Alligator mississippiensis: one gene and its partners. The protein of the gene in region 3 binds, or shares a complex with, the protein of the main gene of each other region. Links are inferred from orthologs where the notes say so. Each region holds a gene or a part of one and is shown on either strand. Other genes may lie near its edges.

Evidence for each region.
Region 1: RUVBL1 (region 3) and PFDN2 share a complex: the UniProt entries of both Homo sapiens proteins name them as parts of the PAQosome complex. The link is inferred for Alligator mississippiensis from reciprocal best matches to the Homo sapiens genes RUVBL1 and PFDN2.
Region 2: RUVBL1 (region 3) and BRD8 share a complex: the UniProt entries of both Homo sapiens proteins name them as parts of the nuA4-related complex. The link is inferred for Alligator mississippiensis from reciprocal best matches to the Homo sapiens genes RUVBL1 and BRD8.
Region 4: RUVBL1 (region 3) and EPC1 share a complex: the UniProt entries of both Homo sapiens proteins name them as parts of the nuA4-related complex. The link is inferred for Alligator mississippiensis from reciprocal best matches to the Homo sapiens genes RUVBL1 and EPC1.

Annotation. Positions count from the first base shown.
Region 1 is NC_081838.1:20,597,473-20,604,282, reverse strand, and holds PFDN2 (prefoldin subunit 2), read right to left. Parts: upstream 2,374-6,810; 5' UTR 2,357-2,373; coding exon 2,264-2,356; intron 1,443-2,263; coding exon 1,354-1,442; intron 1,253-1,353; coding exon 1,129-1,252; intron 854-1,128; coding exon 674-853; 3' UTR 527-673; downstream 1-526. Other genes in the region: KLHDC9 (kelch domain-containing protein 9), read left to right, coding at 1-22; NIT1 (deaminated glutathione amidase), read left to right, coding at 2,788-3,439, 3,553-3,686, 4,233-4,358, 4,982-5,347. UniProt on the Homo sapiens protein: Binds specifically to cytosolic chaperonin (c-CPN) and transfers target proteins to it. Binds to nascent polypeptide chain and promotes folding in an environment in which there are many competing pathways for nonnative proteins.
Region 2 is NC_081832.1:79,523,606-79,530,555, forward strand, and holds the start of BRD8 (bromodomain-containing protein 8), read right to left. Parts: upstream 3,020-6,950; 5' UTR 2,951-3,019; coding exon 2,932-2,950; intron 2,800-2,931; coding exon 2,703-2,799; intron 2,360-2,702; coding exon 2,290-2,359; intron 1,114-2,289; coding exon 1,064-1,113; intron 1-1,063. Other genes in the region: kinesin-like protein KIF20A, read left to right, coding at 3,322-3,489, 3,567-3,653, 3,735-3,854, 4,228-4,366, 4,467-4,654, 4,730-4,871, 5,031-5,225, 5,902-6,013 and 2 more. UniProt on the Homo sapiens protein: May act as a coactivator during transcriptional activation by hormone-activated nuclear receptors (NR). Isoform 2 stimulates transcriptional activation by AR/DHTR, ESR1/NR3A1, RXRA/NR2B1 and THRB/ERBA2.
Region 3 is NC_081835.1:19,184,479-19,192,421, reverse strand, and holds the start of RUVBL1 (ruvB-like 1), read left to right. Parts: upstream 1-4,928; 5' UTR 4,929-5,008; coding exon 5,009-5,149; intron 5,150-5,447; coding exon 5,448-5,534; intron 5,535-6,721; coding exon 6,722-6,854; intron 6,855-7,943. UniProt on the Homo sapiens protein: Possesses single-stranded DNA-stimulated ATPase and ATP-dependent DNA helicase (3' to 5') activity; hexamerization is thought to be critical for ATP hydrolysis and adjacent subunits in the ring-like structure contribute to the ATPase activity.
Region 4 is NC_081828.1:193,084,984-193,092,472, reverse strand, and holds the start of EPC1 (enhancer of polycomb homolog 1), read left to right. Parts: upstream 1-4,486; 5' UTR 4,487-4,812; coding exon 4,813-4,965; intron 4,966-7,489. UniProt on the Homo sapiens protein: Component of the NuA4 histone acetyltransferase (HAT) complex, a multiprotein complex involved in transcriptional activation of select genes principally by acetylation of nucleosomal histones H4 and H2A.

The DNA of each region.
Region 1 (6,810 bases), on a different chromosome or scaffold from region 3:
TGTCCTGGACGTCCCCGAGTGAGCAGAGAGCGCTCACCATCTCCTCAGCATCCTCTGTGTGGCCCAGACAACCCGCCTTCCTCTTGCAAGCTGTGCAGCCTGCCCTTGGCTCAGGCATGGTGCATGGGAAATAAAAGGGCCCCGTGTAACAGGATCTGTCCCCTTTCTGTCCTCTGTGGGGTACCACCCGGTGCCCGCCTCACTGCCCCTCTCCGTGGCACGGTGATGGTGGGGAGGCCGACGGCAATGCCGTTCTCCACGCTTGGCTTCGAGGCCTGGGGCCTCTCCTGCTTGGCCTTGCCCAGCCGAGCCTCTAGAGTCCCTGGAGGAGATGAACCCTGAATCCCTCCTGCGGGATGGACGGACGGACAAGCCGGGCCCTCCCTTCCATGAGGACGTGGGCCCCTGTGCGCATAGGGCTTATGCTGGCATTGAACCAGAGGGGACCTAGGGGTCCCCTCTGGGGCAGACGAGCTCCTGCCCCAACTACACCCCCAGCCCCCCTTCCACCACTTGTGCACTGAGCTCACGACCAAAAACAAATTTATTTAACAAAAATACAACATGAGACGCCAAAGTAATAAAGTTAAGCTGGGTGGGGGCGGAGAGAACCAGGGCCCCGGAAGGGGGTGGACAGTCCTTGGGGAAGGGGGCAGGGCATGGGGCGAGCCGCCTAGGAGACCAGGACGCCGGCAGAGCTGGCCTTGGGCCCACTGCCCTCCGCGCTGTCCTTCGGCGGCTGCTTCTGGTCGTCCTCGCCCATGAGGCGGATGTTGTGCTTCTCCCGGAACTCGTTCAGCTCCCGGCCCTTCGTCTGCAGCTGCTGGTTCAGCGTCTCGATGATCTTGTTGATCTGCCGGGCGGAGAGAGGAGGATGAGGAGTCGGGGCGGGGGCACGTGGCAGGACCCAGCACGGCCCGACGCAGAGCCCGGGGGATCAGGACGTGCCGGCTGGGGGCTGCCGTGGGCACGATACACGCGCCGTGGGGGAGGCGAGGACCTGCCTGGCGCATCGGGCAGGGCGGCGAGGGGCCACGTGCGTGGGCCGAGCCCTGGGGATCCCGGCTCCGCCCAGCCGTGAGCCCCTGCCCCCCGTGCCAGCGCGGCGAGGCTGGCGGCGTCTCCCACCTGCTCCTTGTTGCTCTCCAGCGCGGGCAGCACCTCCTTGACGGTGCGCTCCACCAGCACGCCGCCCACCATGCGGTAGCACCGCCGCGTGGGGTCCACCTCGCGCAGCGTCTCGATCACCAGGCTGCCGGGACAGGGGGGTGCGGGGGGTGAGGTCCCGCGGCTGTGACGCGCCCCCCGGCCCTGCGTGCCACCAAGGACACCCCGCTCGCCCCCCGCGCCCACCTGTGCTCGTTCAGCTCCATCTCCAGCTCCGCCGCCTTGGAGGCCAGGCCCCGCTGCTCCTGTCGCAGCCGGTTGAAGCCGGCCACCACCTGCGGGGGGACATGTCACCGGGGCACTGCCGGCCCCACTGCCGCCCCCGCCCAGCTGGACAGTGCTCCCGCCTGGCGCTGCCCCCCCCCATACGGACTGTGGTCCCACCCGGCGCTGCCCCCCCCCCATACGGACTGTGGTCCCACCCGGCGCTGCCCCCCCCCCCATACGGACTGTGGTCCCACGCGGCGCTGCCCCCCCCCCATACGGACTGTGGTCCCACCCGGCGCTGCCCCCCCCCATACGGACTGTGGTCCCACCCGGCGCTGCCCCCCCCCATACGGACTGTGGTCCCACCCGGCGCTGCCCCCCCAATACGGACTGTGGTCCCACCCGGCGCTGCCCCCCCCCCATACGGACTGTGGTCCCACCCGGCGCTGCCCCCCCCCCATACGGACTGTGGTCCCACCCGGCGCTGCCCCCCCAATACGGACTGTGGTCCCACCCGGCGCTGCCCCCCCAATACGGACTGTGGTCCCCCCCCGGCGCTGCCCCCCCGCCCAACATGGGCTGTGGTCCAGCCCGGCGCTGCCTCCTCCCCCCCATTAGGGACTGTGGTCCGGCCCGGCGCTGCCCCCGCATAGGGACAATGGTCCCGCCCGGTGCTGCCCCCCCCTCCCCCATTGGGACAGTGGTCCCGCTGTCCCCTCCCCCGCAATGCGAACAGTGGTCCCACCCAGCGCTGCACCCCACATAGCGACAGCGGTCCAGTCCGGCACGTGCTCGCTCTGCCCTACGCGTGGGTGCGACACCCTGCCCCGCACGCGCCCAGCTCCGCCCCCCTGCCGTGTGCGGTGGCTCTGCCCGCCCCGCCCGGCACCTGCTCCGCCGTCAAGGTTTTGCCAGCAGCAGGAGACGCCGGGCCAGGCCGAGCCTTCCCGCTATCCGCCATTTCCTCGCCCGTTCTGCGCATGCGCTACACTGCTCCCACTTCCGGGGCGTGAGCCGTCCCGCCGGAAACACACAAACAAACGAACAACCAAAAAGACACCATCTTTGTTAAGGGCACATCGCGCCGGCTTTCCCGAGTTTCTGAATCCCAGCCCCCTGAGGCGCCATCTTCGTTGAGGACGCATCGCACCGCCCCCCCGGAGAACAGTTTACTGAAGCCCCACCCCCGGCTCCTCTGTCGCCATCTTTCTTGGGGGCACATTGTATTGTTTTCCCCCAGGAACGAAGCCGACCGAAATCCCCCCTCAGGCGCCATGTTTGCTGGGGGCACGTCGCGTTATTTTCTCTGGAATTTACTCGAAGTGCCCAACCCCCTTCAGACGCCATCTTTGTTGGGGGCACGTCGCGCCGTCTTCGCAGGAGCAACGCCTACCGAAATCCCCGTCAGGCGCCATGCTTGTTGGGGGCACATCGCGCGGCCTGTTCCTGAGCCAACTTGAAGCCCCTCCCCCAGGCGCCATGTTTGTTGGGGGCACGTCGCGCTACTTTCTCCTGAAGAGAGTTTATTTGCAACCCTCCCTGGGGCGCCATGTTTGTGAGGGGCGCGTCGCGCTGAAGCCCCCCCTAGGGCGCCATCTTTGTCGCGGGCGCCCGCAGCAGGCGCGGCCGCCGGTGCCCGGAGGTCGCTGGGGCCTGGCCCCGGCCGCGTCCCGCGAGCTGCTGCGGCCCCCCCGGCGCGGCGCCGGCTCCATGGCGGCCCCCGGGCCCGGGCCGCGCAGGCTGGTGGCGGCGGTGCAGCTGACGGCCACGGACGACGCGGAGCGTAACGCGGCGGCCTGCGAGCGCCTGGTGCGGGAGGCGGCGGCGCGCGGCGCGGGGCTCGTCTGCCTGCCCGAGGCCTTCGCCGCGCTGGGGCCGCCCGGGCAGCCCGGCCCGGCCGAGCCGCTGCGCGGGGCCCTGGTGCGGCGCTGCGCCCGCCTCGCCCGCGCCTGCCGCGTCTGGCTCTCCCTCGGCGGCTTCCGCGAGCTCCGCCCGGGCCACGGCCACGGCCACAGCGACAGCGCGGGGCGCGCCTACAACTGCCACCTGCTCATCGGGCCCGACGGTCTGTGACACCCCCCACCCCCGCTCTGCTGTCTGCTCCCCCCCATCCACCGCTCTGCTTTCCGCTCCCTGCCCCCCCCGCCCGGGCTCCCCTCGACCCCCGTCTCGTTGCAGGCTCCATGGCGGCCGCCTACAGGAAGATCCACCTCTTCGACGTGGAGCTGGCGGGGCGCGTCTCGCTGCAGGAGAGCAGCTACACCCACCCGGGCTCCGACATCGCGCCCCCGGTCAGCACGTCCGTGGGCAAGGTACGGCCGAGCAGGGGGAGCCCGAGCGGCGGAGCTGGGACCCGGCTTCAGCCCGAGCGCGGCCAAGAGCAGCGTCAGCCCCGCGCCGCGGAGCCCTGCTTCTGCCCAGGCTGGGCACGTGGGCTCAGGACAGCAGCTCAGAGCCCCGACGGGGCTCCCCCACCCTGCTGCTCCAGGGGCTCAGTCCCCAAGGACGGGGGGGGGGCTGGGACCCCAGGGCCAATCATGCCAGGTGCTAGGGTGCTCCTCACCCCACGCAACCAGCAGTAGGTTTCCCTATGGGGCCATCTCATCCCTTTCCCTTGCACCTGCTGCATGCCTGGGAGCTGGGCTGGCCCCACTTTGCCCCGGCCAAAGCTTCTTACCCCAAGCAGCCCCCACCATAAACCCCATCCTCCCTCCCCAAGTGCCCCAGGGCTGAGCATCTTACAGGGAGGGGACCCAGGGCTGGCCCAGACTCATCAGACACAGGGCTGGGCTCCCCATGGGGTTGCTGGGGGCTTGTTCTGCATCATGTGGGGATATCTTCTTGCCCCCCTGCCCCAGGTTGGCCTCGCCATCTGCTACGATCTGCGCTTCCCTGAAATCTCCCTGGCACTGGCCCGGGAGGGAGCCGAGATCCTCACCTTCCCGTCAGCCTTCACCGAGACCACGGGGCCTGCCCACTGGGAGGTGAGACCCGCACCCCTGCCAGGCTGCACTGGTGCCGGCCAGGGACTCCCCACACAGTTTGCACCCAATGGCAGGTCCTGGGCTGCAGCGCTGAGAGCTCCACATCAGCCATCCTGCAGTCCCTGCTTCCCTTCCCCCTTGGGGCAGTAGCAGCTCGTCAAGGCCCCTGCCGTACATTACATAATGCAGGTAACTGGTGAATCATGCCATAAACTTAAGGCAGGCCACACATGCAAAGGAACAATCATGCCATAACAACATCCAGACAACTACATTACTGCTTGGAAATGTGGAACAGCTCCAGAGCTGGTTTCTCCGCAGCTTTCATTGGAACACGAGTCCCAAGAGCAGAGGAGATGCCCTTTGTCTGGGTGCAAAGTCCCAGCCCTGGAGGAGGAGGCTGCAGAACAAGTTCTGGGGCCTGGTCAGGGGCATTCCCCATGGCTCTAGGCATGCTGCTGTCCCAGGCTGGCTGGCACCAAGGAGCACCCAACTGTGTGGGCAGGTCTGGGAGGGTTTCCCAGTGCTGACAGCCCCTCCCTGGCCTGGGGAGAGGTGCCCTCGCTTGGTTTTCAGGCCCTCTGGAGTCCCGCCGCGGCTCAGGCCAGCCCTGCCCCTTGCAGGTGCTGCTCCGGGCCCGCGCCATAGAGACCCAGTGCTACGTGGTTGCAGCAGCGCAGACAGGGAAGCACAACGAGCATCGCTCATCCTACGGCCACACCATGGTGGTGGACCCCTGGGGCCGTGTCATTGCCCAGTGCCAGGAGGGGCCAGGGCTGTGCTACGCCGAGATCGACCTTCCCTACCTGCACCGCCTGCGCCAGGAGATGCCCCTCTGGGCTCACCGCCGGCCCGAACTCTACGGCAGTGTCGGCATCCTGAAGAAGGCCCCGCTGCTCCACGAGGCTGTCGAAACTGAGGCGGACCCCTGCCAGCCTGGAGACAGCACAGAGGAGAAGCAGGAGGAGCCCCCACCTATCACTAGCTAGTTCATGAGTGGGTTGTGCCCATCAGGTTTCCCTCGGTGGAGTAACTAGGGAGTTAGGGGGGGCCTAGCTGGCTTGCACCCCCCTTTCCCACTGCCAACAGGCACCAGGCTCCAGCAAAGGACAGCCATATAGCTGCCTCAGCCTGCCCCGAGCAGGGAGCAAGTGTGGCTGCCCCAGCAGCCAGGATGGCCCTTGCACAGGGCCCAGGCGCAAGACTAGGCCTAGGTGAGCTGCCTTCCCCTCACAGCCACAAAATAAATGCGAAGAGTGAGGAAATGGCTGCTCTGGCTGCTGACTGCGCCACTCGCCTGGTTGCGGTGCAGGCCTCAGGACAGTTGCCATCAAGCACGTGTAGTTCTCCAGGCATGGAGGGCTCAGCTCACCCCCCCCCCCTTCACATGAGCACCAGGCAGGTCCTGCTTCAAGTCCCAGCAGAGCAGCTGTCCAGGATGGGTGTGAGCTTTTCTTCTCTGCGCTGTAGCCTGGCCATGTCTTATGGTGCAAGCTCCAGGGCAGCACTCCCTGGCCAGGGAAGGGGCTGGCACGTGAATTGTTCCACATGTAAAAGGGACCATGGCACTTGGCCAGTAAAAGCCATGGCTCAGATGCTGCCTGCAGCAGAGGAACAGGAACATCCTACTGGGAGGGGGTTGGAGGACTCAAGGCAGCAGCTGCACCAGCCTGGGCCTAAAGGCTTTGCTCAAATGCAACCCAAGCTCACATGCAGGGGAATTACTTTCCTCATCTGTAAAATGGGTCTGAGCCAGTCCTAAAACTATGTCTGAGGCCCCCAGGGAGGGCCAGCTTGGCTTGGCCTGAGTGCAGATTTGGAGAGCTCAGCCCCACCTGGGTTGGGATGATGAGAACAAAGCTCCTGTTATGCAGCACAGTGGAGCTGGGCAGGGGTTGCGGGGAGCAAAGCAATCATCACCACCTTGCAGGTTGCCCAGAGTTGGGGCTGTTTGTTATAGGAGGGCTCTGCTGGCACAGCTGTGTGCAAGCAGCAAGCCCAGCTCCCCAGGCCAGAGCCACCACCAGCAAGAGACCCAAGAGTCAGACCAGGTCAGAGGCAGGAGCTTTCAAAGGCAACAACAACCTACTTTGTCAGGTGCTCCGGGCCTGGCCCATTCCTAGGCCAAGTCGGTTGTTCCCCATGACAGCTGCCTCCACCTTGCCCTGCCCTCTCTCTGCCCGACTTCAGGGGAACGCAGCCACCCCCAATGCAAGCACCCAGCAGCACAGCTCCTGCACCGTGCTGCCAGCCAGATGGGGCCTCAGTGCCAGTGGGCAGCATCCCACACCCTGGAGGTAGTGAAGCAGCCACACTGGTGGGCCTCAGCCTGGAACCCACCTCCCCCCCCTCCCCCTTTCTCCACAGGACAGAGCCCCTGGGCTGCATCCAGGGCACAGTACCAGGCTTGGAAGCCTCTTCCTGGGCACAAGGAGCCCTCAGTGCTGCCAGG
Region 2 (6,950 bases), on a different chromosome or scaffold from region 3:
CTAACTTTTTCACAGAGCAAATGCCTTTCTCTACTCATACGAAACACGTGTGGTTACTAACCTAGGCCAGGAGTGTTTGCATTCCTGTCAAATTTTTACCCTCGTTAATTCAACTTTGGAAAAAGACTTTTACTATCCATGCCTACGTATAAATCCATCTCAGAAGCCCATGTCAGTCATTTATGCACAGCAGAGACATAAATACTACTTTCAAACACTACAAATTTCCTTAGGCATCAATTACCAACACCAGTGCCCAGATTCAGAGCAAGAGATGAACACTACAGCTTTCACTGGTACAAAGCTAGTGTCCAGGAGAAGAATAGGGTTTCATTTGCCCCTCCCTAAACAATCCTCAAATACTGCAGGTACATAAAAGGCAACATAAAATATTAGCTCTCCTGCTCATCATTCTTACTAGCTTCTATTCTCCCAAATTTTCAGTATTCTGAGCTGTAATTTTAAGCACACAATTTTTGTTTTATAAGTTTAATTTGTTTCATTTTAAGATCTGCTGTATAAAAAAGAACAAAGCTATTTTAGTATGCAATCTATGTCCTTTTAAAAGTAAGTTATTTTTAAAAAAGCAGCATTTTTATAGAAATTACCACACACTATGTTGCCTCTCTAGCTTCCTCAAACCAGCAAGCTGAGAGCTGTGCTGGGAACTGCAGCCTAGATGCCTCAATACCTGTAACCCACTGGTTCAGGGATGAGTACAGGAGTGGTGTGAATGAGCACTCAGGATAGCACAATGACCAGTTCTAGAACCACTTACATTTGAAATGGTCCAGTCCTTTGAGCTAAGTAACAAAACATACAAAAATGAGCAAAACGCTCTAGGTAATATTACCTACCCAGCATCTCCTGTTAGGTTAGGGGGTAATTTCAAACAACGGCCCTACTCTGCTCACTTTCCACACCCACACAGTGTGACCAGATTTCTCTGCCGTGCCTGCGCCTCCTTGCTCAGTAGCAGCCAATGCACTGTCTGATGCACTGATGACACCTCCGCCCCGCCAGAGGTACTGCAGACACCACATGCCTCAGCCTTTGCACTCACTTGGGAGTCTCTGTGGTCTCCAGGAGTTCCGAATACTGAGATGCGCAGTGCTAAGGAGAAACAGAGGGAGTCAGAGCACACAGAACAGTCAACACAGCCAATTCAGTTTATTGGCAAAGCTCTTGGGTTCCCTCCTCTAACAGCCAGGTAGCCTTTGAGCATGTTTTCATGTTTCCCATACTAGTACTGTAGCAGGAAAATACTGCCACAGTACTAGTATGGGAAGCTGCAGTGACTTCCCAAGCTGCTGTGTACCCAATGCATCTATAAGGAGGGTCAGCTAGCACCACAGAGTCAGCTCTGTAATGCCAAATAAAAACTAGGAAAGAATAAATTAAATTAAAAAGGTGGCCCCACAAATTAACACGTCCTCCCCTGGTTTTCCAAGATCCTGATCTTTGAACAGTCATACTCCAAAATATCAGTGCTAGTAATAGAACAGGTTGAATACAACATGATGCTTAAAATTACAAATCTAAACTATGATTTCAAATCAACAACCAAAAATCTTTGATTTAAATAATAAATTATAATCCCATTTTGCATTTATATCGTTTAGCTATTCGCACTGAATGAGCTGAATAAGTGAAATAGAAAAAACACCTCTTTTCATCTGCAGAAGACTTGTGCAACAGTTTGGCTGGCGCTGCAATAGACTCAAGGCCAGGTGCTCAGACAGTGACTTCCACAAATTTAGGGGTGTTGGACCTAGCCGCGTTGGTCTAAGGACACTGGAGGTCAAGGCTCGTTGGGTAAATCCAATATCACTCCACCCAGGAAGAGCACAGACCATCTGCGGATGCTTCCTCAGCCTGACAAAGGGTGTTTGTGCCCAAAAGCTGGCTTAGAAGAATGTTTCCAACTACTTGAGTTGGTCTGATGAGAGATATCGCATTTATCCAAAGACTCGTCTCCCACAAATTTAGCAATTTTGCTTTCTTTGAAGTTTGGTAGCATGCGTGTAATGTGTTAGCTCTGTCTAATACCCTTTTATCAAATTATATCAAGTTTAGACCATAAAACAATATACTTTGTTTTATTTTCACATATGCTTTCATATAAATTTTAGTTTTAGAGAAAAACGAAGCAAAGCTGTTTGACGTTTAAATTAAAAGTCTTATTTAACGTTTTAAGTGGCCACTTTTCTACCCCTCTACTTGGCCGAAACTGGAGTCCCTTGAGCAAGAGCTCCCCGGCAGCGGGAAGTGCCTCCGCCTCCCCCTTACCTTCTGAGAGAACCAGTCAGGTGGGCGGCCCGGCTCGGCAAAGGGCTTGATGGCCCTGCTGACTGACACCCTGCGGGGGAGAGAAGCGGGTGAAGCCCTGCCTCCTGCCCTCGCCAGCGCCCGCTCAAGCCACACCGGGCTGCTCCCGCCGAGCTGACGCCGCTGCGACGCCTGAACAGCTTCCCTGCTCGCGGCGGCGCCGCCTGGCCAGCGCCCAAGCGCAGCCCGAGCACGGCTGATGGCTCGTGCACCGGCCCGCGCAAACAGAGCCAGGATTCAAGTCCTGCTGAACGGCAGCGACAAGCCAGGCCCTCGCCTCGCTTGTCCCGCAGCCCGGCTCCGTCCCCGTCCCCATCCCCGCAGCCGGCACCACCGCGACGACGGCCCAACCCCCGCCGCGCCGCGGCTCTCACCAGTTCTGGTCGCCGCTCCGCATGACGGAGGAGGCCAGGCACAGCTTCTCGCGGACGGACCACGGCTCCGTGGGGCCGGCGCTCAGCAGCTTGTGCTCTGCGGGGACGGACGGGCCTCTCAGGGGCGGGCGGGCAGGGCCTGCCCCCCCTCGGCTCCCCCAGCCCCGCCCGCCAACTCCCCGCTCCGCCCCGGGCCGCCCCGGCCCGTCCCCGGCCCCACGGCACTCACTGCCCGTGCCCGCCGCCATCTTCGCCGCCAGGCCCGGGCCAGAGGCGGGGCCCACCGCAAAGGTCGCCGGGAAGCGGCGCGCGGGCTGCCGGGAAGGCTGCCCGGCCCCGCCCCCAGCCTCTCTCTGGCCGGCGGCTCGGAGCGCGCGCTGATTGGCCGGCGGCTCGGAGCGCGCGCTGATTGGCCGGCGGCTCGGAGCGCGCGGTTTGAAACCACAGCACCCGCTGCTGCCCCCGAGGTCAGCGTGGCCCGGCCCGGGCCGGGGGGAGGGGGCGGCTTCACTGCCTCAGCGCAGCCTGAAGGACGGCCGGCCGGCCGGCCGGGGGCCGAGGAGGCTGTTGCCGACCGACCCGCCCGCCCTCCCGCCCGCTCTCTCTCGCAGGCCCCGCCATGGCGCAGGCCGCGCTGTCGCCGCTCGCTCCCGCGCTGTTCTCGGACGAGGAGGCCGCGTCGTCCCCGGTGCTCGAGTCTACGGCGGCCGAGCTGGGCCGGGCCGCGCGCCGGGACCTGCTCTCCGACTTCTCCGCCATCTGGCCCGCCGCGGCGGGCGGCCCGCAGGTGAGGGGGGCGGGGCCGGGGCCGGGCGGCGCTCGCGGGCCTCACCCGGGGCCGTGTGTGACCCCCGCTCTCCGCAGGCGGACCCCGAGGACGGTGCCAGGCTGAGGGTGCACCTGCGGGTCCGGCCTCTGACGCCGGCCGAGCTGGAGAAGCGGGAGGACCAGGTGAGGCGGGGGCGGCGGCTTTGGGGGGGGAGGGCCCCCGCCCCCCGCCCCCCGCCCCGGCTGAGGCTCCGCACTCCTCAGGGCTGCGTCTGCATCGAGAGCCCGGAGACGCTGCTCCTGCGGGCGCCCGCGGACTCCTTCGCCATGCGCAGCACGGAGCGCGGCGTGGGCCAGGCGGCGCACAGGTTCACCTTCACGCAGGTAGGTGGGTGCCCGTGGGCGCGGCGCGGCACGGCGGCCCTGCCGTTCACGCAGCTTTGCGCTGACGGCACCGGGGCCGCCCGCACCAGCCCCTGGTGTCTCCCTTCCCCCGCCCCGTCCCTGCGTCCGTCTGCTGCGCGTTGTCTCGTGCTCGCGGAGCAGGAGCCCTCGTCTTGCTGTCTGTCCGGTCGGCGCCCGGCGCAGCTGGCCCCCGGGCACGTCTAGCGCTCCTAGGATTATGTGGATGGAGCAGCCTGGGCCGGCTCTGCCGGGGTTCGGGTGGGGTCGGAGGTGGGTGGCAGTCCAGGACGAGCAGGGCTGCAGCAGGCCGGAGAGGGAAGTCCCGCGCACGCCCCTGTGATCATGTTTGCAGATCTTCGGCCCAGACGTCGGACAAAAGACGTTCTTTGACGCGACCATGAAGGAGCTGGTGCAGGATGTGCTGAACGGGCAAAACTGGCTGGTTTATACCTATGGCATCACCAACTCGGGGAAGACTCACACCATCCAGGGTGAGCGAGGCATCAGGTGTTGGCATACCTGGTCTCCTCGGAGGGAAGAAGTGCTGCTGTGTTGTGACTGAGCTCTGCTCACTGCTGTCCTCTCCTCCAGGGAGCAGCAAGGACGGTGGGATTCTGCCCCGCTCCCTAGCACTCATCTTCAATAGCGTGGGAGAGCAGCTCTACCGAGCCATGGATCTCAAGCCCTCGCTCTCCAGCGAGGTGGCCTGGCTAGACAGCCGGCAGGTTCAACAAGAAGAGACCAAGAAGCTGGCCTTGCTGCACGGGGGATTACGGGAGGTGAGTGCTCTTCTCCGTCCGCTGGGGAAGGACGAGGGTGCCCTGCACCAGCCTCACGTTCTGCCTGTTTCCTAGGAGCTGCTGACTCCACTGAAGAGGAGCCACAACACCGAGTCCCAGCTCCAGGCTGCCACTAGCAGCAGTTATGACAGTGGAGTGGGTGGCCTCTCGTCTACCAGCCAATTTGCCAACCACTCCGAGAGCAGCCAGCTGGACAGTATGTCTGGGACCCTACTGTGCCGGGGGAAGGGCAAGTCCTGGGTAGGAGGGGATGAAGCACACTTTGGGCAGGGGTAGAAACTCTCCCTTGTCTCCTCCAATCTGCTGGGGCTGCTGCAATCCCTACCACCCCCTCTGATTCTCCTCTGAAACCTAGGGTCTCGCTGGGCTGATCCAGACTGTGTCTCGCTCCATGCCTCGGGAGACGTGCAGTTCTCCATATGGGTCTCCTTTTTTGAGATTTACAACGAACAGATCTACGACTTGCTAGAGCCGGCTCTGCCTGGCCCGAACCGCAAGAGGCAGACGCTGCGGCTGTGTGAAGACCCGAGCGGCAATCCCTATGTCAAAGGTAGAAACTGACCCAGCAGCACTCTGGGGAAGGACCCTGCTGGATCATTCTCTCTCCTTCAGGAGACAGTAGTAACCTGGGGTGGATAAGAGAAATGTCGAGTGGCCAGGAGCGCCCATGGAAAGCAAGCAGTAGTAGGGGGAGGGATACTGCTCTAGGGCAGCAGCTCTCAACCTTTTTTGTACCAGGACCCATTTGTGAACATCAGCGGCCAGTCCTGCCCCAGTGCCTCTCACTCTTGACCTGCTAGGCCCCAGCCCCCCTGTGTGTGGGTTATGGGGGGCGGAAGGGGGGTGGGGCATGGTGGGAGAGACCCAAACAGCTCCTCATAGGTTGAAACTCTGCAAGGGAAAAGCCACAATTTCCTGCATTTTTCTTGTGGGAAAAGGAGAATCCATTTTTTAAGTCTGTTTGTGACCCTTTTGAGATATTCTTGTGATCCACTTTTGGGTCTCGACCCATGGGTTGAGAAACGCTGCCCTAGGGCATTTTTATACACAGTCAGCAGTTCCCTTCTGCTGAACTTGGGCTGGTATCCCTCAGGAGGCCCAAACAATGCAGGGAAGTTCAGCTTGGCTGTTGGCAGCAGTGAAGCCTAGGATGCGGTAGGTAGCCAGGGCCTGGGAAGGCAAACCACGTCTATCTGTACCACTTTCCCACCTGTCTGCTCTTTCAGATCTGAACTGGATCCACGTCCAAGATGCCGACGAGGCCTGGAAGCTCCTGAAGCTGGGTCAGAAAAACCAGAGCTTTGCCAGCACTCACCTGAACCAGAACTCCAGCCGCAGGTTGGGGGCAGGGAGAGGAGAGGAATGGTCTCCAGCAGGTTGTGGCGGGGAGGGCTCATTTTATGGAACTAGGTGCTGGACTGGTGCCAGAGGTGGTCGTTGCATGTTCCATTCAAGTGTATTTTTTTTTTTTTGTCCTTGCTCCCTGCAGTCACAGCATCTTCTCCATCCGGATTCTTCACCTAACAGGGGGCAGCAGTGAGATGATCCCCAAAATCAGCGAGTGAGTGCTTGGGGATGATCCTGCCATGAGCAAGAGGGGGTTGGACCAGTGACCACCTGAGGGCCCTGCTAGCCTGGCTCTGATTCTCAGATTGCATGAGCTCTCCAGGCCATGGTGCTGTTATGGATCTTTGGGGGCCTTCAGAAGGTGGAACTCACTGCGGGGGTGGAGAGCAGCTGTTGTGCATGTGTCCCACTGCTCCCTTTGGAGAGAGCAACAAAGCTGCTCTGGGAAGCACAAAAACATCCTGCATCAGCATGAGCATGGCTGACTGACCCCATCCCTGCGTCCAAGGAGGCCCTCATGACAGCTGCTGCTGAGCAGCTTAACACTCATGTCTGGGATGCAGCAAGCTGGACATACTTGCTGGATCCGTGCTTGGAAAGCAGCACCCAACAGGGAATTTCTGGGTGAGCTTGGGCCCCTGACCTGAGCTTGGTAGTGTTGTTTGAAACAAACCTCCTAGAAGAGATGGCTGAGCTGTCCTGAGGCTCGAGTGGGTGCATGACAACACATGGACTGTAATCACAGCAGTGCCCTGGGTCTCTTCCAGACTGTCCCTGTGTGACCTTGCTGGCTCAGAGCGTTGCAAGGACCAGAAGAGCGGGGACCGAATGAAGGAGGCAAACAACATCAACACCTCTCTGCACACGCTAGGCCGCTGCATTGCTGCCCTGCGCCAGAACCAGCAGTCCAAGTGAGTAGCTTGGGGAC
Region 3 (7,943 bases):
AGCGTTCATGCCACCAATGTGATGCTGTAGCTGGCAGAGCTAACCAAATGCTGGCATGCATCTACTGTGGCATCTTGAGCAAGGCAAAGGATGTTATCCTCCCACTCTACTTGGCCATGGTGAGACCACAACTGGAGAACTGTGTCCAGTTCTGATGCCACACTTCAAGAAGGATGTGGAGAAGCTTGAGAGAGTCCAGAGAATGGCCGCATGCATGACTAGAGGCCTGGAGAACAAGACGTATGAGAAGAGGCTGAGGGACTTGGGATTGTTCAGCTTGAAGAAGAGAAGACTCAGAGGGGACTGGTTGCAGCCTATAAGTATATCAGGGGCATACATCAGGGTTTGGGGGAGCATCTATTCACCAAGGCTCCTCAGGGAAGGACAAGAAATAATGGGCATAAACTGATTGAAGAGTGCTGCAGGCTCAACATAAGGAAAAACTTCTTTACAACCTGAGCATCCAGGGTTTGGAACAGGCTCCCCCCAGAAGTGGTAGTCATCCACCATGGCAATCTTCAAAAAACGTCTTGATGCCCACTTTCCTGTCCATGTGCAGGGAGGGTGGACCTGATGATCTGCAAGGTCCCTTTCAGCCCCTAGCAACTATGAAACTATGAAACTATAAGCATCTCTTAATGGGGGAGGCCACTGATAAACTCATTTCTTGGGGCAAATAAAAAGAAAAACAAGAAGGGGAGTGAGTTTATTGGTTAATAACAAGGGATCCAGAAGGGGACACCAAGCAGAGCACCCCAGCCAGTGCCCACTGCCCCCTTAATGAGTCAAGGAAGCCTGTGGATGCCAACCAGTTAAAATGCCAAGAGATGTGAGCAGAGGAGTGACAGGAAGACAGCCCCACACTCACTTAGGTTTCCCCCAGCCAGAGCCTTCTTCTTGGTCTTGTATATGGCCAGCTTGGCCAGAGCCAGGAGGAAGTTGACCAAGATATCCCAGAGCTTAGTGGGGCCATGGACACAGAGTGCATAACAAAAAATGCAGCCAGAACCTCAGCAGGAGGTTCTAAAGGAGGCGGAAGAGGGGCTGCAACCTGGCACACTCGAGGTAGGCATGTGCCCGGGTCTCCCTCTGCTGGCAAAAGGGGCAGGTGTCAGGGGTGTCTGTAAAGTGCACCAAATACATGGTGATGGCTCCATGGAGAAGCTGCCAACTGAGGTCCCCGGTGACTTACGGGATCAAGGTGGAATACAGACTTGTCCACTGAGGACCCTCAGCCCTGCCCGTGCCATCACCTAGAGTGTCCCACCACTTGTTGTCAGGGCAGGACATGAGGACACGACGATGGATTGAGCACAGCATGACCATGTAAAGCTGGCAGCAGTCAGTTGTTTGTACGTGGACTGGCTTGATATCCCCCAGACTGCTACAATAGTTGGGTGGTGGGTGTTGTGGACTCTGCTGAGGCAGTGCCCCAAAACTAGCTCCAGAGTGCTGGGGGATGGGGACTGCCCTCATACAGGACCTGTCAATACAGGTGAAGGCAGTGGGTGGTAGTGCAGCCTCTACCTCCTGGAATAAGCGAAAGGGAGCACAGAGTGTGGGTAGCTCTATGCACTGGGCCAGCGCAGAAGGATCTGCCCACCCCTGCCTAGCATAGTGCAGAAGGTAGAATTATAGAAAGTTAGGGTTGGAAGGGACCTCAGGTCATCTAGTCCAACACTCTGCTCAAGCGGGATCAGCCCCAACTAGATCATTCCAGCCAAAGCTTTGTCTAGCTGGGGTATGGGAACCCCCAAAGATGGAGTTTCCACCACTTCTCTGGGTAACCCATTCCAGTGTTTTACTACCCTCTTAGTGAGAAAATTCTTCCTAATATCTAACCTAAATGTCCCTTGCTGCAACCTGAGACTTGCTTCTTGTTCTGTCTTCTGCCACCCCTGAGAATAGTCTAGGTCCATCCTCTTTCAAACCCCACTTCAGGTAGTTGAAGACTGCTATTACGTCTCCTTCAGTCTCCTTCTCTAGATTAAATAAGCTCAGTTCCCCCAATCTTTCCTCATAAATCATGTCCCCCAGCCCTCTCACCATTTTTGTCACCCTCCACTGGACTCTCCAATTTGTCTGCATCCAGGAGAGCAGATTTAGGTTAGACATCAGGAAAAACTTCTTTACTGTCAGGATTGCCAGAAACTAGAATGAGCTTCCAAGGGAGGCGGTGCTCTCCCCTACCTTGGGGGTCTTTAAGAGGAGGCTAGACATGCACCTGGCTGGGGTCATCTGACCCCAGCACTCTTTTGTGCCCAGGGCAGGGGGTTGGACTCAATGACCTGCTAACATCCCTTCCGACCCAAACATATATGAATCCTTTCTGTAGTGGGGGGCCCAAAACTGAACACAGTACTCCAGATGTGGCCTCAGCCATGCTGAACAGAGGGGAATAATCATTTCCCTTGACCTACTGGCAATACACCTACCAGTGCAGCCCAGTATGCTGTTAGCCTTCTTGGCAATGAGGGCACACTGCTGACTCATATTCAGCTTATTGTCCACTGTAATCCCCAGGTCCTTTTCTGCAGAGCTGCTGCCCAACCAGGCAGCCCCCAGCCTATACTAGTGCACAGGATTGTTTCATCCTAAATGCAGGATTTTGCACTCGTCCTTGCTGAACCTCATGAGATTCCTTTTGGCTCAATCCTCCAATTTGTCTATTTCACTCTGAATCCTAGCCCTACCCTCTAGCATATCTACTACTCCCTGCAGCTTGATGACATCTGCAAATTTGCTGAGGGTGCACTCTATGCCATCTTCCAGGTCATTGACGAAGACATTGAACAAAACTGGCCCCACCCAAGGTCTCCAATATGAGTGATGTTGGCCAGGACCATCCTCCAGTGCACCCAGGGCACCTCTGTCACCAGCACCATCAGCTGTAGGTTTTTCAGCAGCGGCTCAGTGAGGAGGTCAATGGTCTGGGTGACTGTGTCTGGGGACCCAGATCAACAGCCTCCAGGCCCTAAGGAGGTACTGGGAGAAGTCTGGCAGCTATTCCAGGTCCTGCTTGGGGAGATCTCACAGGGAGAAGAGCTGTCAGTCACACCAGTACCCTCAGAGGTGGTGGAGGAAAACGCAGCTGATCAGGCACCACATTGCCTGGCTATTTGCACTGTACAGCAGCCTCCTCAAGGCCTGAATACAGGTGTGGACCTGGTTGCAGAGGCAGACCAGGCCATTCATGTCCTCCTGCATGGGGAGGCTCAGGATACCTCCAGAGAACCAGTGATGTCCCAGCCAGAAGAAACCTAGTACCTATCTCTGGAGACTGGCCAGGAGATCTGGGGGCATGGCCAGGGTGTTGAAACGATGCCAAAGAACGAACAGGACTAGCTGGTTGAGGATTAGTGTCCTCCCATGAAGGGAGAGACACTGTAACAGTCCTGCCCATGCCTGCAGCTGCTCAAACACCCTGACCTCCAGCTTGTGTCAGTTCTCCAGCTTGTGCCTCCAACTTGTGTCAGCTCTCCAGATGGAGCAGCGAGCCCACACTCTGTTGGATGTACTGCAGCGCAGGTGGGAGCAAGCTCACCTGCCACCTGTCACTCACTATCAGACCAGAGCTCTTGACCCAGTTGACCCAGACAGAGGCGGCAGCTGAGTAGGTGGATCTGCAGGTCTCCAGATGCACCAGGTCACCCGGGTCTTGGACGGTGAGGCTTATGTTGGTGGCATATGGTGACAGAACCACTCGCATGGCCAGCTCCTTGAGCACCAGCACTACCACCTGCTTGTGCAGGAGGCAGAGGAACAGCTCAAAGGAAATGACATAGAGCTGGGCTGGCAGTGGACAACCTTGATGCTCTCCCAGCTGTGGACTCTGTCAGTGTCCTATCGAGCCTGACCATACACTCTGTGAAGGCATACAGCACCTGGGGAAACTGCACGAAGTGGAGACCAGAGCCAAATGTCCTCAGCGTGCCTGTGAGGTATCTGTGATCCACCCTGTCAAACACCTTCTCCTGATCAAGGGAAAGGAGGACAAATGACAGGCTGTCCCTGCGAGCAAGCTCAAGGAGGTCTCACACCAGGTACTGGCTGTCGAAGATGGAGCACCCTGCAACCGTATATCTGGTTGAGGTGAATCACATCTGCCTGCACAGACTCAGGCACAGCAAGATGACTTTTGCTATGACCTTAGTCAGAAGAGGGGAGCGAGACTGGGTGCCAGTTCCTCAGGTCACAGGAGTCCCCCTTGTTGGACAGCAGCATCAGGGCAGCCCTCCTGCACGACAGGATGAAGACGGCAGTTCTTATGTTGTAAGTGGACAGAAACAAAGCCCCACTTCTGTTCTTCCTTTAGTTGCTAACACCAAGCTCCAGAAAGGGGCTGGATTTGGCATCCACATGGCATCGCCTACTGGGACCATTGCTGGGTCAGGTCAATACCTCAGCTCTTCACTCAGTTTGAAGAGGGAGAGGAGCAGCAGGATGATTAGTTTCCCAGTGCCAAGGATAAACCATCATGAAAACACAGTGAGGAATTAAAAAAAAAAAATCAAAGAAGGCAACAACCACACAGCAAAGGCCCTTCCAGGGGACGGGAGCCAGGAAGGCAGGTTTACCACCCCTGCTGCATACAGCAGCTGAGCCTGGGAACCAAAGTGACTGCTTGGGGACAGAAGAGAGGGACTCTCAGTCACTGCCACTGAAAGCTGCATGGACCTTCCCTGACCTCACTTCCCCTCCAGCCAACAGGACACAGAGCGATCACCACGGCTGAGACAACACCCTCTAACACCCCGCGGAACCTTCCTCCCCGGCCACCCGTGCAGAGCCTTTTGAACGTCGCACAAGCGGAAGTGGATGGGCGGGTTCTAAAGAAAAGCAACCCCGCGCTGTGACAGACACGAGCAAGCCCCAATTAGCAGCTGCGCTGGCGCAGAGGGACCCAATGGCGGCGCGGGGGGCGGGGCCGGGGCCGTGGCGCCGGCCGCCTAGGTAACGCGCAGGCCGCGTGGGAACCGCTGCTGCCGCTGCTGTCTCCGCCGTCGCCATGAAGATCGAGGAGGTGAAGAGCACGTCGAAGACGCAGCGCATCGCAGCGCACAGCCATGTCAAGGGGCTCGGCCTGGACGACAGCGGCGCCGCCAAGCCCGCGAGCGCCGGGCTCGTGGGGCAGGAGAACGCGCGCGAGGTCCGCGACCCCCGCCCCTCCCCCGCGGGATGCACCCTGCCCCTCCCCCACCCCGTGCGATGAACCCCTCCCTGTTCCTCCCCCGTGGGACGGACCCCCCCCCCCCGCCACACGTCCCCCCCCCCCGCTCCCCGCTGCCCCCAGGCAACATGGTGAGCTCTGGGGCAGCCCCCTCCTCTGCCCTGGCCTCAGTTTCCCTGTCCCTGCAATAACACCCGTGCTGCCTCTCTGCGTTCTACGCATTTGAAGGCACGTTTCTGACCGGCTGGTAACTACGGACATGTCTTCCTTTTTTCAGGCCTGCGGTGTGATAGTGGAATTGATCAAAAGCAAGAAGATGGCCGGCAGAGCCGTGCTGTTGGCAGGACCGCCCGGCACTGGCAAGGTATCGTTTTGCTTGGGGCCAAAAGGCTTCCCCGCCGCGACTGTTTCTGAGGCACCGTTTCACCAGGCAGCTTCCCCGGCAGTCATGTTGGACTGGAACCAGGGTGGCCTTTGCGGCTGATCACTGCTTGACATCACATCTCCCTGCGATACGTATTTTGGCAGAAACCAATAGTTCATCTAGGTATCAGCCGCATAACACTAATGCAGGAAAATGACGGTATCATAGTCTTATGAAGTCTGTTTTTTTTGGAGGAAGCCCCAGGATTGGGGTTTTAAAAGTATTAACTTTTTTTGCACTACTTAAGGTTTAAGCATTTTCATGAGAGATGGTAAAATGATTTCTCCGCACTATCCGGAGTTTTAAAATTCTTCGTGTTGGTGCTCTTAAGTTTCTTGGGTAAAAACCCGTGTGTGTGTGTGCGTGTGTATATGCACAGGTTTGTTTCTGCATGTAAGAAACAAGGGAGAAAAGCTTGAGGATTTTTATTTTTAAGAAGAATTAAGGGTTTCTGGTCTCTCCATCTCCCCGTCCATTTTCTCACTTGTTGGATTCCTATTTTGTTAGAGATTTGGGGCATTGAATTAGGTTTATCAGAAAGTAGAACTGGAAGGGACCTCATGAGGTTATCTAGTCCATCCCCCTGCTCAAGGGAAGATCATTTCCATGTAAACCATTCCAGTGTCCATCTAACCTGCTCGTGACAATTTCTAGGGACAGCAATGCCTCTCTCAGTGGCCTGTTTCCAATGCTTAACCATCCTCATAGTGAGGAAGCTGTTCCAAATCTCCAGCCTAAATTTCCTCCATGAGCTTTCAATGTTTAGAAAACATCTGGAGAGCCTTTCAGTTGCAGATCTTGAGAAGTGGAGTATTGCTATCCACCTTCTGACCATATTAAAGTAAGTAAGGATGATCATTCCCAACTCCCCTGCCCCTGTGCTCTAGCACAGAGAAGTATGCAAACGTCAGCAGGCATGGTTCATGGGGTGAATTGATTTACCCCCTACTTCAGTTTTAGAAAGGATGCTTGGTATTTTCCTCCACCTGTAAAAATGGAATGCTGTGAAGATTAAAATAGTATTTATTCTTAACTTTGTGGAGCAGTAATCTTTTTTTTCCATAAGTTCTTGTTACTTCTTCTGAAAATATATGTGTATGATCTTCAAATGTTTTGAATTTTTATAGACTGCTTTGGCGCTGGCTATTGCTCAAGAATTGGGAAGTAAGGTTCCCTTTTGTCCTATGGTTGGAAGCGAGGTCTACTCAACTGAGATAAAAAAGACAGAAGTCCTGATGGAAAACTTCAGAAGGGCGATTGGTAAGTACTTGTTAAAAACCATGAGGGAGGGTAAAGTGGCTGTTTGGCTTTTCCGAAAAGAAAGCAGAAAATACCAGCTCTTTGGAGCAGTCCTGTTGAGCAGGCCCCACTGTCATGTTCTGATTTTTATAATTCTCTTTTTAGCACTGTTGGACATTCTTACCAGCTTAGTTGAATCAGGATGCTTTTCTGATAATTCCACATCTCCCCACCTTAGTTATTCCAGCTGAGTCTTCTTTCACTCTTCTCTTTCCATGCCCTCCAGGATCTTTTCTCAATCTTGTAAGTGGCTGTTGAACAAACCTGGAAGAAACTTTCTTTACAGTCTTGGCACTGACCTAGGCTCTGCAGGAGGGTTTTGTAGAAAGGGAGATGCTCTTTTCTCTTTCCCTTTAATATTCTCAGTTCATGCTTGTCAAAAACTCAAACGTAAGCATCCCACACTTAGCCTGGCTTCTTATTCCAGATGAGCATAAGAGACTGGTCTAAGCCACAAAAATGAGTATTGGATTCAGTTAACTTCCTTTTCAGTTCTAGTATGCTTTTTCTACTTAAGATGTTCTGTTTCAATTTATCTGGAAGAACAAAGTTAAGTTGGCAGTACAGCCTCATTGAGTATCTAAAATCTTTTATGATTGCTGCTGACAGCTGATAAAAGTCCATCAGAAGTGGTCCGTGCATGCACATGGATTGTACGGAGATAGCCTAATTGTTTTTAGTATTGAACACATTACCAGTTAACTTTCCTGTTTTCGTATCATGATTTGCTATGGACTTCAACTAGGTATCTAGTGGTGGGAAGGTGAAGACATCTCTCTCTCTTTCTCTCCCCCTGTCTACCTGTATGCAGCAACCAAACAAAAGTGACCTATTGATTTCTGTAAGAAAGCGACTTTCTATAGTGTGCAGTGTTAAAGTTACTGTTAAGTTGCTAGGGCTTGGGGGAGGGGAGTTAGGGACAGAGAGAGAGCAGTCTGCAGTATTTCCTTGACGTGATGAAGTTCCCTGTCAGAGACTTGGAAATTTGAACCAGCAAATGAAATCTGTGTCATCCACGTTGTCATTCCATAGAGATAGCAATAATTTAAC
Region 4 (7,489 bases), on a different chromosome or scaffold from region 3:
TGGTATACTTTGAAATGGTGTACATTGAAATAACCCATACATTGAAATGGTGGGGCATAAAACAAAACCCTGAGGACTAAACGGTTTCAATTTGCCATCACATTACGGCACCTTTTTTTCTTGGAGCCAGAGCCTGCCTGCAGAGGGGAGGCAAGCTGGTAGCGGGCTGAGTGGTCCCTGAGCTGCAGGGGGGGGCACCCTGGTCCTTCCCTCCATGGTGGCAGCACCCCCCAGGGCTGCCTGGGCAGGCTGCTAGCAGGCCTGGTGCTGCCCCAGCTCGGAGGCAGCACCTGGCCTGGTCCAACTGTTCCCTGAGCCTGCCCAGGAAGCAGCGACCGGTGGGCTTCTAGCTTGGGGAACCGTTGAATTGGGCTGGGTGCTGCCTCTGAGTTGGGGCAGCACCCAGCCCACCTGGGAGGCCCCGGAGGGCACTGCTGCTGTAGAGGGAAGGACCAGGCCCCCTTGCAGCTCGGGGGCTGCTCAGCCTGCTGACAGCTTGCCCCCCAGCCATGGGCAGGCCCCAACGTTTCTCCCTTCAGCAGGCATCTACTGAAGGGAGAAACGGTGAGGAGCCTGATCCTTTTTTTCAGTGGAGCCTGCCTACCTCTTCCATGGCCCGGGGCAAGCTGCTGACACAGCGGTGGCCCAGGTGGTCACCCATTCTCCCCAAAGCTCAGGGGCTACTTAGCCCACTGGCAGCTCCTCTGGGGGAAAAAAAAAAAAAGGATCAGGCCCCTCGCCGCTTCTATCTTCAGTAGGTGCCTGCTGAAGGAAGAAGCAGCAAGGGGCCCAATCCTTTTTTCCTGCAGAGGCTGCCTGCAGCCAGTGACCGAGCTAACAGCTGCATCACTGCAATTTGCAAAGCTGCAAACTAAATTACATCTGGACAAAGTTTAGGTTGCAATGATACAGTCATTTAAACCCCCCAAACGTCTTGCATGTGTACACCGTGATGCTATTAAGCCACACAAAGTAACATTTTCGTCATGTGTACGTGTTAATGTCATCACATGTAGAAGCACCCTAGGAGCCAGTACTTAATTCCTCTCACAGGGGAGCACCCTGGTTGAGAATCCACATCACCCTGGTTGAGAATTACTAACCAGTACTGTCAGTGCCTCACAAATTTTTGACTCACTTTCCAAGTGACCCATATTTCACAATTGAAATCTAGGTCCTCTGAGTGCTGCACAGACATAGTCACTGGGAGACTTTCTATTTCAGATGGCTATGGTATGAGTAACAAATGCATCATTTCTCAATTTTAGCAAGAAAAAGCAAATGAGAACTTAGTGCCAGAGGTTCCTGGTCCTTCTGCTAAAGAACCTCTTGAAAAAGATACCAGTAATTTAATTTTCTGAATAGCAGGAAAACTATAGTATTACAATGATTTTTGAGCCATACAAAAATACCATACCATACAGAAAAGCCACAAGCTCCTGAGACCAGTGTTCTTAACTTTTTTAGACTCAAGGAACCCCTTGAAAATGTCTGCAGTTACTTAGTTCTCACTCAGTCCTTCCCTACCAAAAAATAACCTATTATTTATTGCTCTTTCTGCTGCAAAGAACCTGGAAAAACCACAACAGGTCAGAATGTTTTTAACACTCTGGTTTGCCATTTGAAATCTCTGGGTTTATCTTGTGAAGCATGTTTGCAAACCTAACAGTGGTAACATTATGTGGCCATGACACCTGTGAAAGGATCTCAAGGCACCCCAGGGTGCCTCAACATCCTAGTTGTGAATCCCTCATGAGGGCAGTTGTGGAGGTAAGGATTTTAAAATAGGTATTAGTTCAAAAATACAAAAAAACTCTCTTTCAATTCACATATTATACTGCTTTTATTTCTACTGTTTCTTAGCTAAAAACAAGCAGTATAGCACACTGAGATTAAATACTTTTTCCTACATGGTAAATTTTTGGCACAGATGTTTGTTTATTGCTACTTTTTAATTTGCTTTAGGTTGTGAATAACAAAGTAGGAAAAGTAAGATGAGCAGTGTATCCTCTTTGTATGATAATTAAATTAAGAAATTGTGAATTTATAAGGAAGCAGCTAGAGAGGGATCTACTTTTTGCCATTGTTAGGAGACAAAGTACTAAGAAAGATTGCTTAAGATATTCGGACTCTCTTTATAGTAATAATCACTACCAAAATGACTGCTCTCTTTCTATACTCTTACTGATCCTCAAACAGCAACCTATTTTGATTCTGCCGTAACTGAATCATAGAAAATTTGGGTTGGAAGGGACCTCAGGAGGTCATCTAGTTCAACCCCCTGCTCACAGCAGGACCATTCCCAACTAGATCATCCCAGCCAAGGCTTTGTCTAGCTGGATCTTAAAAACCTCCAAGGATGAAGGATGGAGAGTCCACAACCTCTCTGGGTAACCTGTCCCAGTGCTTCACCACCCTCCTCATGAAAAAGTTTTTCCTAATATCCAAACTAAACTTCCCTTGCTGCAACTTCAGATCATTGCTCCTTGTTCTGTCATCTGCCGCCACTGAGAACAGTTTAGCTCCATCCTCTCTGTAACTGCCCTTCAGATAGTTGAAGGCTGGTTGGTATTAAACTGCTGTCTCGGAACAGCTCTCCCCTAATTTCCCTGCCTGTAATTTGTTCAGAACAGAAATCCTGAATTTCAGAACTGTAGTCGCATCATTTTGGAATCTTATTTCGTCCAATATCACGGCTATCGTGAAAGTTATTTTTAAAAGGATAATAATATTCGGTAAATGTTTTTCAGTAACTTAAGAACCAAGACATTTTCTGCTTGGGGTGGAAGTTATTTTTCCTGAGATATAGCTGTTATTGGCAAAACACTAGAATTTGGGGCAAAAAAAATGTTTTAATTGACCCTGTGCGTACCTGCATGTTACAGGTTATAGCATGTTCTGCACTTCCTTGCGACTGCAAGGAACATGAGGACAATTCACATTTAAACCCAAAGAGCCAATCTTTCCACTGTGGCACGTTATTTACATTTTCTCTGCTTCCATTAATGGAATAAAAGAGTTGCATTTTATTAGCTCACCCTTTTACTTAGCTGCCAGGTATCTTGTTTGCAGCACAGTCTCACATCAGTGGACTTTGTTGAGATCATTCTATAAATTTTTAAATTTATATTGGTAACAGTATTGCACAGGTCCAAGTTAAAATTTAGAAGAAAAGCATTGAATACATTATAGCAGAGGCTTGCATACCAATAGGTCAGGCTGCAGCCTTACTAGCTTTGATGCCCGTACAAAGGGATTCACCTGCTTACAGCAAATTGTAGGGGTTATGTATTTCCACTTGAAAAAGGCTAACCAATTTTTTTTTCCCATTAGAAATATTGTCCAATTAAATAAACCTTCTTGTTCTAATAGTTCAAATAAAAGTCGAACTGTGTCAAAAGTTTTCAATATGTTCTCTTGAATAGAAAACCAGCACAAATATTCAAACATATTTAACAGTGAATTATAATCCCAGTTGTTAGATTCCTTATTTGGGACCTAGATAAACCAAATTACTTTGTTGTTCTGGAAAATCTTGGCTTTTTATGCAATTAAGAAAATATTTTTAGTTAATGAACACTTGCATTTAAAAGCTCAGGGTAAAAGCTATCATTTAATGCTGTACTAAAACTTAAATCAGGAAAGCACAAATTAATAGAATATTTTTCAGTTCACCTCCTTTATTTAAATATCGGTCAGAGAGAAGCGGGAGGCCGCACGCTTGTCTGAAATGAATGGTGACTACAGCTCGTGTTGTATTTCCACACACACTGAGTGACCCGCCCGCCCCACAGGTAAAACGAGACCTCTCCCAGGGATGCTGTGAAGCCCTCGGAGAGCCTCGGGAAGCCAGGCAGACCACAGCGCCGAGAGGGCTAGCGGAGGAGGCTCCAGACCTGCCTGGAAGACTCCTTTAAACCCAGCAGTAACATTTATTTTAATGCTTTGAATGTAATGCGTTATTACTGGAGGGATACGGTCAGGTTCATTTTCTTCCTCTCCCCCTGTCACAAATGGCGCATCGGCTTCTCAAGACGCTTCGCGGCTCACCTGTCCGCCAGGACACCCAGAGGTAAGAGCGGGACCGGGGACCCCGCCGCGGCCGGCCCGGGCGAGCAGCTGCCGCTGGAAGCCCCTGTCACTATCCCTGACCCTGGTGGGCCTGCGCCGGGGATGCCGCGGCTGTGGCGGGAGGGTCCCGGGTGCTGGCCGCGCGGGGCAGGGTCGGTGCAGCCCGACCCGCCTCGCCTCACATTTGTGGCCGCGGGGAGCGCGGGTGGCTGCGGCGGCGCCTCCCTGCCTTGCCCCGCGCTCAGGTGCGCGCGGCTCTGCCTCCCGGCGGCTGCGTGAGGGGCGCAGCGCCGCGGAGCCCCCGGGACACCCCGCCGGCTCGGCTCGGCTCGGGCCGGCCCGGCTCGTGCCCGCGCTCGGCGTGGCCGCGCGGCGCGCCCTCCTCCCCCGGGCGGCGCCGCGCCCGCGCCCTGCGCGATGCAGTGTGGGAATGGCCGTGGCGCTGGGGTTGGCTGAACGCGGCGGCCAGTCGAGGTTTCATGTCCGCCATGTTGGCCGTGGCGTATTGAGCGGAGCCGGAGCGGCGGCGGCGGAGGAGGAGACGAGCCAGCGCCCGGCCCAGCCGGCGCCGCCGGGCCCCGCGTCGGAGCGCGCCCCGCCCCGCCCCGCCGGGGGAGCCCCGTCCCTCCATGAGAGCGCTCGGCGGGGCCGGCTCCGCGCAGCAGCAGCAGCAGCAACAGCAGCGCCCCGCCGCGCCCGCGCCCCCCCGCCCCGCGCCAGCCGCCGCCATCGCCGCCCGACATGAGCAAACTGTCGTTCCGGGCCCGGGCGCTGGACGCGTCGAAGCCGCTGCCCGTCTTCCGCTGCGAGGACCTGCCCGACCTGGCCGAGTATGCCTCCATCAACCGCGCCGTGCCGCAGATGCCCACGGGCATGGAGAAGGAAGAGGAGTCGGTACGTGCTCCCCCCCACCCCGCGGCCGGGCCCCGCCATCCCTCCACCCTGCCTTCGCTGGGCCGGGCCCCCTCCTTCGCCTCTGCGCAAGCACAAAATGGCCGCCATCTTCTCCCCGCTCTCCCCGCCCGCGGGGCGCGGGGGAGGCAGGGCCCTGCCGCGGGGGGGGCAGCGCCGGCCGCTCGCCCCGTCCCCCGGGCCCGGCCGCGGCGGCCCCCGATCCCGCCCCGGCCGCGGCCGCCGGAGGGGCTCGCGCGGGCCCCGAAAGGCACAAAGGGGGTCACGTGACGCAGCGGGCGGCCGCCATTTTGTTGTCTGCGCTCCCTCCTCGGGCTGGGCCGGGCCGGGGCCGGGCTGCTGCCGCCGGGTGGCGCCGCCGAGCCGCGCGCGGGAGCAGGGCCCGAGATCCCACGTGGGGCAGCGGGCCCGGCCCGGCCCGGCCGCCCCTTGCGCCGCCGCCGCGTTACATAAGGGGTTGTGCCGCTCGCCGGCTTGGAGCTTCCTGGCGCAGCGCGGGGACGAGGTGCCGGCTGCCTCGCGCCGCGGCTCGACCGGAGCTTTCCACGTGTGAAGTGTGAAAGGGTCGTTGGCAACCCTCGGGATGGGGGGCGTGTTTGACTTTTCCCTGTGCGTTTGACAGCTCTTGTCGCTTTGGGTTCCCCCGGGACAGTGATTCCTCTCCTTCGCAGGAGGGGTTTGGGCCCCGACAAGGGGGTGCCTTCCTCCCCCACACGGGCAGCAGGACTGTGAACCCTGGAAGTGGCCCGTGGATTAGGGCTGCAGCTCACGCTTGCTACAAACTTCTGAATTTTAGTAGATTTTAAGTTGACAGGGCTGGTTTCAAGTGGTGGTCTGGGATGACGCTCTTGCTTGTGCTGCTGGCTCCTGATGCTCATTCAGTCCCTGTAAACTTGAAGGAAGTTCACCTTGGTTTTTAGGTGCCGCGTTCTGCACGCGCTGCTGTGCATTGACAGTTTCAAAAACTGACTGTGGACGTCTATGCAATGACTCTTAGTTTCTGAAAGAGCTGTGAAATGCCAGTTCTTTCTTATCTCTTCTTTGCTAGAATTATTTTCTCAAAGTTACAGTTTGAGGATTTATACTGTCGCATTTCCAGATCATATACAAACATTAATTATCGTTATTATCTCTTACTAAAACATCTTATCTTGAATGTAAGAAACATTTACTGAAAATGTTTGACACTGATGCTTCGTGGACGCTTCTTTTAGTAAAAGCCATTATTCAATTTTGCATTGAGTGGTTTTCACCGACTCAGATTAACTTTTGTGCATTAAGAATGGTTGGATACTGTGGGTGGCTTCAGTCATGTAGCTTTGCTTGAATCCAGATCTTCAGAATTTGATGGGTGAGGTAATCATCTTGATTTCCACTTGCATTAAAATTTAAGTAAAACAAGTTTTTATTATGATTACCATAGTAATTGGTCTGTCACATGTACTTTAATTGAAGTGTATATGATCAGTAAACTTTCATCTTTTGTCTGTCTTTTTTGCTGTAAGCTTAACAGATGTGAGCCTTTTGGGTAGAAAACTATTGTATTATGTTGTATTTAGGCTCAGGTGGGCTCACGCAAGGTTACCAGGTAGCCACTATCATAAACTTTACTGTTTGTAAAGAATCTGCTGCTATTTTAATTCTGATGTGATGAAGCATGGATTTTGCAAATAAGTTTGTTTTACACGTCTCTAAAATAAATGGCTAACTAGCAGTTTTAACAAAAATACCAATCTGTATGTGCTTCTGTTCTTAAAAGTGTTGTACTGAAGAAAGGTTACTTGTCACTGACAAATGCATCTGGTTAAACCCATTTAGAATTTCAGGGCCTTCTTAATAAATCAGTTGGTGTCCACTTTTTTTTCCTCTTCTTCCTGTTCCCTCCCTCTTAAAACTCTCTGCTACTTTTCTTTCCTGTGGTTATCTTTCTTTCAAAAAAACCCCAAACCATTTAGAGCATGCAGTCCCGGACTAGAGGCAAGACAATTCTGTGGACTGTTTCATTGTTTTTCCAAATTCCATAGGGGGGAATATCCACTTTATGTTGTGGAAAAGAGGGCATAAGTGAAATTGTGTGTATGTGCACATTTCTTCACCATTGACCACTGTGAACAATCACCTGTGGTGATATGCTAATAGTACTTTAACATCACTTCAAGTATGTGCTTTAATTTAAAAATCTGATTTTTTTTTTTTTTAAGAGTACCCTGTTTTCTGAAGGTGATTCATTTTTTTTTTTTTTTATTTTTTTTTTTTCTCCAGGGAAAGCAAAGAGACTTGATGTTCAAGCACTGCCTTTCAAGAACATTTAAATGCCCGTTTCATAGTTCTTGATGCACATTTCTCCGCTTACTTTTATCTGCCCCACCCCACCAAATAATTAGGGAAAGTAGGACTAATTTTATTAATAGCATGCGACTCTAGCAAAATGTTCTGAATGCATGGAGACAAAAATTACTAATCTTTCAGGATTAGTAATCAGGACCTGCATGCCTTTTTCCAGGTG